Coturnix japonica: one gene and its partner. Each later gene encodes a partner of the first gene's protein in a complex. Links are inferred from orthologs where the notes say so. Each region holds a gene or a part of one and is shown on either strand. Other genes may lie near its edges. The genes, in order: STRIP2 and PDCD10.

Region 1 (3,809 bases):
TGTCACTGAAACCTGTACATCTTGGTCACACCTCCAATGCTCTCAAACACTACATTCTGACCCAATCATTAAGTCCCCAGGTTGATTTTTGGGGGAAGAAACTGACATATCTCAAGTGTGCAGACTGGAGATACCTTCCCCCCCCCCCCCCCCTTGTTTTTAATGTTTCCCTGTGCTAGGGGGAAGAGGAAGTCCAAGAAACCCCTTGTGAGGTCTTGTATCGAGCAATGCTATACAATCTCCCCCAGTATATGGTAAGCCTGTGTTCCTTAGAAATGAAATAGGGTCTGTGGGTGTTAGGGATCTGAACGTTGGGATTTCGGTGGGAATCCAGAGCAGAGCTGGGTGGAAAGTCATCTCCAAGAGGAGGGTTCCAGAGGATCGAGGAGGTCAGATACCCAGAGGCATGGTCCAGTGTTTGGAGATAGGACAGTGGGACATCCCTTTCAGCTTTCCCACCGACTCAAGAGATTCCCACACACTACAATTCACAAATTCAGCTCTTTTAAGATGCATTTTGGGCCACCTACAGTCTGTCTGCAGGGAGAGGCAAACATTTAAATGCAATAAGCTGCAGCGCTGTTTTATCCATACCACTAGAGCTCAGTGCATCAACTTAATACAAAAGCTGAGCTGCCCTGCTGCCTGCAGTTGAGTACAAAAGGAGAGCTGAGCATTGGCACAGCTGGCCCATCACCATGAGTGAACCTTGGGCTGGTGGAAACTTCTAGAGCTGGCTTGAAGTTGTCTAGTCTCAAGGAAAAGGAAGGGATTCGCCCTTTGCCTCCACACCTGCCTCCTCTGCAGATCGCTCTGCTGAAGATCCTCCTTGCTGCAGCGCCCACCTCCAAGGCCAAAACTGACTCCATCAACATCCTGGCAGACGTCTTGCCTGAGGAGATGCCGTAAGTCCTGAAGGAGATACCTCCAGCTGTTCCAGCCTTGGACCAAGTGGGAAAGTTGGGAGTTGCAAATAGGTTAAGGGAGCCCCAAATGTGGGCATGGGGCTGCAGATGTGGGGTCCAAGGGATGTGGGTCAGTGATGGTCCCATCAGGTTGATGGTTAGCCTTGATCTTCCCTCACCATGCCAGCATCACTGTCCTGCAGAGCATGAAGTTGGGGATTGATGTGAACAGGCACAAGGAGATTATTGTGAAGAGCATCTCGGCTCTACTGCTGCTGCTCCTCAAGCACTTCAAGCTGAACCACATCTACCAGGTGAGCACTGAGAAGGGGTCACGGTTGGTGCTCGTGGGGCTGGTGCATCCTTACTGGAGCTCTCCAGGAAATGTTTCCAAGAGGAGCAGTGGATTGTAGGGATGAACCCTGGCTCTGGGACATGTTTTTTAGAGCATTACTCATGCAGGAATAACCTGCCTGCAATATATCTTTGGCTGTTTGTTGACAGGGTGGTTTCCACTCATGTGGAAAGAGCTCTCTGACTTGTGGATGAACACATGCTGTGGTTAATCAGGTTAGAATTCCAGAGATCTCAGCAGAGGGAGCCTCTCCTGGCAGCCGGGGTGGGGAGGAGTTAGGCAGGATTCCTCCTGCTGTGCCCAACTTCCACACGAGCAGTGGGGCTAGGCAGGACTCGTGAGGTCCTCAGCAGGGTAGAGCTCTCAGGGCTCTGGCCTCAGTAGAACCAGCTCAGGGTCCTAGATGCAGTTTGATTTGTGTTAAACAATTAGTGGGCATTTTTCTTTTTCTCTTTCCCTTTCTTTCCCTTTCTTTCCCTTTCTTTCCCTTTCTTTCCCTTTCTTTCCCTTTCTTTCCCTTTCTTTCCCTTTCTTTCCCTTTCTTTTCTTTCCCTTTCTTTCCCTTTCTTTTCCTTTCTTTTCTTCCCTTATCTTTCCCTTTCTTTCCCTTTCTTTCCCTTTCTTTCCCTTTCTTTCTTTTCCTTATCTGTTCTTTTTGCTGATCTGTGCAAATGGGTTGAAGGAGCTGCTTGGGCAAGGGGATTGGAGTAGATGATCTCTAGAGGTCCCTTCCAGCCCCTGCAATTCTGTGAACTGTAGAAGCCAGAATGGAAGTTACCCTATATCCTTTGTAGTAGTCAGTCTCCTCCTTTTCCTTCCATATTTAATGTTTTCCCCCAGTTTTTACCTTGAAAAGCGACCTGCATTCACTGGGTGCACCTCTTCTAGAGTCTTGCCATGAAATTCTGTGTGTCAACACACTTTTCCAGATGCTGGGAGTTGTTGTATGTGATGCAAGCCTCACACAGCAGACTTGTGCACAAGGAAGATGGTCTGCCAGGTTCAGAGCAAACCATCCAAACTGGAAATGGAAATTCCCAGCACACGCTTCCAGTTGTTCCTGTTGACGCTGACCCATTTCGCTTCTCTCCCCCAGTTTGAGTATGTGTCCCAGCATTTGGTGTTTGCCAACTGCATCCCGCTGATCCTGAAGTTCTTCAACCAAAACATCATGTCCTATATCACTGCCAAAAACAGGTACAGCCACGCATGCGATGGCCAGTGATGCTGCAGTGGGAAATACAGCACGATGCTCAAGCAAGGGCAAAGTGTGGCACTGAATCCTCTCCATGCCAGATGCTTTCCAAAAAGAAACCAAACCCCACTTATATGTATTAATAAAATGTATGTCTAAAGTACATTTTATTATTATACACACATACACATATATTATATATGTGTACGTTTGAGGGTTTTTTGGTTGGCTACTTTTAGAAAGGCAGTAGACACAGAAGGCTTGGAAACTTTGGGCAAGACTCAACGCCCTTGCCATGCATTATCTTGCTGGTAATATTCTTGCTGTCAGATATTTCCATTTTAACCTAAAATCTGCTTTTCGTATGAGTTTTTGTTTTTAATATACACACAAATAACTGATCTGCCATGTCCTAATGGATCCACCTCCTCCAAACCCCCACTAATGCATGCCTGGGAGCAGGGAGGGCTCTGCTCGTTAGGCTCACATGCCGATTGTCCTTAATGAGTCTCTTCTTTCCCATCTTCCACAGCATCTCTGTCCTGGATTACCCGCACTGTACAGTCCACGAGTTGCCTGAGCTCACTGCAGAAAGCCTAGTAAGTGAAGCAGAGCACTTGTAACAGTATTGCTTTATGCAGGTGGGTGAGGAAGGACTTTTCTTTCATTTTTTCTGTGTCTTCAGCCCCAAAATAGACTTTTTCCTGTAGAAGGGCTTGAAAATTTATCTCACTGCTGCTGCTAAAATTTCGAGCCTATGTCGTTTTCCTTGGCTGTGAACACGTTGCAATCAGAAATAAAGGGAAAGGCTTTCTGTGGTTTTGATGAGCCAAAGTTGGCCCGATGGGGACATCTAGTGACACATCGTTGGGAGCTCTAGTGGCACACAGTGGTCTTTTTCTCCTTTTATCCTTGTTTCCTTTTTTCCTTTCCCTCTTTTCCTTTTTCCCCCTTCCCTTGCTTCCCTTCTTTATCTTTCTCTCTTTCCCTTTTCATTTTTTCATTTTCTTTTTACTTTTTCCCCTTTTTTCTTTTCTCTTTCTTCCTTCCTTTCTCCCTTTCCCTTTCTCCTTCTCCCTTTTCCCTTGTCTTTTTTTTCCTTCTCCCTTTTTCCTTTTCCTTTTCACCCTTCCTTTTCCTTTTCCTTCCCTTCCCTTTCCTTTTCCTTTCTTTTCTTTCCCTTTCTTTTTTCTTCTTTTCTTCCTTCATTTCTTCTCCTCCCTTTTTCTTTCTTCACCTCCCTCTTTTATTGATTGCTAACTCCATTTCTATAAAAATCCAGTGCCTATTTACAGAAATCAAACACACACTGCTTCACTGCTTCTTCAGTGACATTAGTGCACGTAGTTGTGTT
Region 2 (4,477 bases), on another chromosome or scaffold:
CACCAGTGCTCCCAGTTGACTGGGTCCTTTCCCCAGGTGCACAATCAGTGGTTCAGGCTTTGATTCAACAGTCACCATACAGATACATAAGTGAGAAAGCATACTAAAGACCTTGGAGTAGCTAGAGCTTGGTGCAAAGGATCCTACCAGCACCATCTCCTCTCCACTGCTCCATTTAGTAACAAAACAAAAGTTGAATTAAGAGGTAAGTAAACATATGACATTGACATATATAGAATAACTGTTGGGAGTTATTACAATGATGGAACACTCAGACACTCCTGGAGCTCTGCTGGACTGCCTGAACACAGGTCAAAGAGCATATTAAGTAAATCTAGGAAAGCATCATTAAGCATTACTTATGCTGTGACTTAAAGTAAAATACTAGCACCAGTAGGACTGCAGCTTCCTAACATCACTTTACAACCACTAAGGAATGACAATATCATAGATGCATATGCACCTCAACCCATGCTATAATGCTTCTGTGTCTGTCACACAAACTAAATAGCAAGGCTTTCTGCTGGATTAAAGCACTGATCGCATCAAAATAATTGAGGAATCAAAGACAAATACTCCGCATACACAGTAAAGCATGACAAATCTAGTAGTTGTTTTCTAGCATCCTTCCTTACCTACATGCAGATGGTGGGCACTGGTAGCATGTATGGGTAGCACACACAAGGGCTCTGCTCCCACACATATATCAGTATCTTCCCATTTCACCACCTCGGCGCTGCAAGGAGATGCAGCTGGCATTCAGGAGCACCGCGATGCACCGATTCATCACCTGCTTACAGCAAAACCCGCATACGCCTCACCAAAGTAATAACAGTACCAGGAAAAGTTGCAAGCTAACGCATTAGAAACGAAGGCTCAAACCTAGAACTGAGCTGCGTATTGATGGGAATTCATATTGGTTACTAAGAGCTTCACCTTAAAGCTTTCCAATAACTGCGAGCACCAAAAGTAACGCGACCGTTGTCAAACAGCCCATATAGGGGACACCTACAGGGCAACACAAGCCAAGAGATAGAGAGGAGAGAGGCAGCAGCTCAGCACAAGGCTGGGGCAGCTTCGTTCTGCCACGCTCAAACCACGGCTGGGACAGAGCTTCAGGAGACCACAGAATAGCATAAAACACACTCAGGTGGACAGGCTGCAGGTGCCGGGACAGCAGGACGCCACATTATTATTGCTCTCTTCCTTCCCCATTCTCTCCCCACATCACCCACCACCTCCCCTCAGGCACTGACACACAACCCGCACTACGGAGCCACGCAGCTTCACACCGACATCAAACCGCAGGCTGCTCCCGCAACCCTAAACACAGCACCGGCTGAACACAGCAGGCTAAAGGCACTTACCACAGCAGCAGCTCAACACCACCCCCCTCCACTGTGAGAAGTGCAGCCGCTGCTCCCCGCGCCGGGATATGCCACCGCGCCCCGTCCAGGCCTCGCCCACCCGTCCAGATTCGAGCTCTGATTGAATAGACTCTACTCCTATACTCCTCCTCATTCCCTCCTACCCGCCCCTTTTATCGCCTCGTTGCATTGTTGGTGTTGTAGTTGAGGAGAGAGGACTACGAATCCCAAGTATCCGAGCGGCTGCCGGTTAGTTCCGGACAACGCCTGGTGTGTGGTAACACGGCGGACGCTTCCTCCTTGTTGGGTTTCCGGCGAGGTGGAGGAGCCCCCTCGGAGCTCGGTGAGCTTTGCGGGGCGGAGAGGTATCGAGGTAAGGCGGTGAGGTGAGAGAGGCTTCGTTTTCTTCTCTAGGCCCATGTCTTTAAAGGGATAAGCGCCTGGAGAGACACAGAGGAAGAGGGTGGGGGTCACCGGTGTAAGGCCTGGGTTTCCTTTTGGGGTTGTGCTATGTTAGAAGCGTTAAACTGTCTCAGGTTTGAGGCTGGGTGAGGGGAGAAACGTTGTTTGCTGCAGGTGTGAGGCCTCGGCCTTTTTCTTCCTACCGCGGGGTGACCTGGCCCAAGGGCTCGTCCTTGTTTCCGCCCTTCCCGCTCGGATCCCTCCTGGTAGGGCCGGGTACCAACCCCCGTCCGCAGCCCTATGGCTGTTCTTGGCAGCGTTAGGCCTGCGTTGTATTTTTAGCCCGGCCTCGTACTGCTGAACGGCGTTGTCAGGGCTGGGCCTGGTTCGCTCCAGGTGGGGCCTTTCGTCTGGGGGAGGATAGAAAGTGATCACGTCGTGCTTCCTCTTTAAACCAAGCTTTAGGCTGGTGTTGTTAAACACCTTAGTGTGCTGTTATATGATTAATGAGTGGCGAGTGTGTGGCCTTCCTGGGGCTTGTCCATATAGGGGGCACAGGTTTGCTGCTGAAGCCTTGAGGCAGGTGGATGTGTTCTTGTTATCAGAGGAACTGATTGCTGAGTGCTGGTTGTTTACCCATTGGGATGTGTTATTGTGTTTGGAGCTGTTTCTGTTTGTGGTTTATCTGTTAGTGGTTGATAGGGCAATGAGAACTGAGTAGTTTTACTTTCAAATTCCCTTGGAAGAGGAAAAGAGCTTGAAAGAGAAACAGGGATGTGTTGTGTTATTCTGTATTGGAGAGGCTTCTTTGTGGCCTTCTAGTACTTAAAAAGAGACATGTTAACAAAAGAGAAATGAACTTTGTCTGCGTGTCAGTAGTGATAGTACAAGAGAGAGATGAAATTAGGGCCTAGTCCAGGCATCTTTTGTTTTTCATGTGATAGGCAGACACAAAACCAAAGTATTAGGGTGTACTAAATAATTTCTATTCTGAACTTCAGACAACAGATTTATTGAAAGCCAGATTTCAGAGTATTTTGAAGTAACCGTCTAAAAATAGGCTTCTTGAATTTACTGCAAGTTTGTGCAACTTAGTCACCCAAATTGGCTTCACAATAATAAAATGCACAAGCAGTTATACTCTGTCAGAGTGAACTCATCTGGAAGTGGCTGTGATAGATGTGCATGCAGGTATTTGAGGAGTACATGTTTGCTCTACTAAGAGGCATTTAAAGATGCCTATTAAACTTGAGTGCTGTTTTCTGATAGTATTCCTTTTGTTATCTCTTTTGGGAAGGTGCTGAATGTAAGCATTAGCTTAATACAGAACCTGTACAGTAGGCTGCTTCTTTAGGTTTCTTGTTGTCTTTATTAGTTTTAGAATACAGAGGTTGTTATCATCATAGCTGCACTTGACACCAATTTCAGTGAATTCAACCATCCTGTCCCCAGCTCTAATAAGAGAAGTAGCTCAGTATTTGAGGCACAGAGGCTTTCAGCTTTGTACTATGCAGTCAAAGTTATACAAGAGGAGTGGTTATGATCTACGAATGGAAGTACTATGTAGGTAACTTCTCTCCGGAAGGGGGGAACTTGTGCTTTTTTTTCCAGTTTATTATGAGCAACCATTAACAAGAGAAACTTAAAGGTACCAAGTTGTGCACAGGGTAGGTACACTGTTAGAACTGCATATTAGCCATGTACTTGGGCTTTACAAATAAAGGCCAAGGTCTTTGCCTCTGAATTTGGGACAGGCCTCAAGTTAAGTGTTTGTTTTTATCCCGTTCTTTCTTACTAAGCTTAAGTTTTTCTGATGGCAAAGATCTTAGTGGATTTTCTCTTAACACAACCTTCTTGAATCCTCCCTACAAGAAGTGGAGTGGAACTTCTTGTTAGTGGGGATAATCTTTCTAGGAGGAGCAGAGCTGTAACTTCTGGTTCTGTCCTAAAAACCAGTCATTGAATTAATCATGCAGGTAGATCAATGCCTCAGGCCTTCTTCCACTTGGTACTTCGCTTAAAAAGAAGGAGCAGGCTTAAAAAGAAATAGCACAAACGTTTGGCTGCTTTAAGATTATCTACATCTGAGGTAAATGGAGCCTGGAGAATGGAATGGAGACAGCACCAGTGGTGTAGGTAGGTGACGTAGCTGAGGAGTGAAATTCTGCCATCTGGAACTTCATGTTTCCATTGTTTTCCAACTTCTTTCAAGTTCCAAGCATAACACTCTGTCTTCTCTTTAAACATGCTTTCAAAAGGTAGTATGAAGCAAAATACTTTCTTTCATAGACAAGTAGATTGTTTTCACACTGACCAGTGAGCAAAGGTGGATTTGGGAAAGTTTCTGCCCTTCCTGGTTCTTCTGCCACTTGACTTTTAAGTGCCTGTCAGAAAATAGCATAGATGAGAAAAGCAAGTTTGTGTCTTGGGCACTGGTAACAGTAGCTGTACATTTTGGGAAAGTGTGGAGTTTCTTGCTTTTCATCTTCCTGCTTTACAAGAAGTTTATCTGAATGTAGGGTGTTGTGTTGTTTTTTCCTTTCAGGCAGTTCCATTGAATGATTGAAAACCTCATTGGGTGGATTTGGAGGAATAGATCTATAACATAACATTGAAATTCATCTTAAGTGTGCTGGTTCTGTGATTACTGAATAGTTGGGCTAGTCTTTTGGTGCTGAAACATTGAAGGTTATAACATATAAGATTTA

The links.
Region 2: STRIP2 (region 1) and PDCD10 share a complex: the UniProt entries of both Homo sapiens proteins name them as parts of the core of STRIPAK complex. The link is inferred for Coturnix japonica from reciprocal best matches to the Homo sapiens genes STRIP2 and PDCD10.

What each region holds. Positions count from the first base shown.
Region 1 is NC_029516.1:802,547-806,355, forward strand, and holds part of STRIP2 (striatin-interacting protein 2), read left to right. Parts: intron 1-179; coding exon 180-254; intron 255-807; coding exon 808-905; intron 906-1,092; coding exon 1,093-1,219; intron 1,220-2,356; coding exon 2,357-2,457; intron 2,458-2,987; coding exon 2,988-3,054; intron 3,055-3,809. UniProt on the Homo sapiens protein: Plays a role in the regulation of cell morphology and cytoskeletal organization. Required in the control of cell shape. Calmodulin-binding scaffolding protein which is the center of the striatin-interacting phosphatase and kinase (STRIPAK) complexes.
Region 2 is NC_029524.1:18,270,607-18,275,083, forward strand, and holds the start of PDCD10 (programmed cell death protein 10), read left to right. Parts: upstream 1-1,560; 5' UTR 1,561-1,710; exon of another isoform or gene 1,711-1,753; intron 1,754-4,477. UniProt on the Homo sapiens protein: Promotes cell proliferation. Modulates apoptotic pathways. Increases mitogen-activated protein kinase activity and STK26 activity. Important for cell migration, and for normal structure and assembly of the Golgi complex.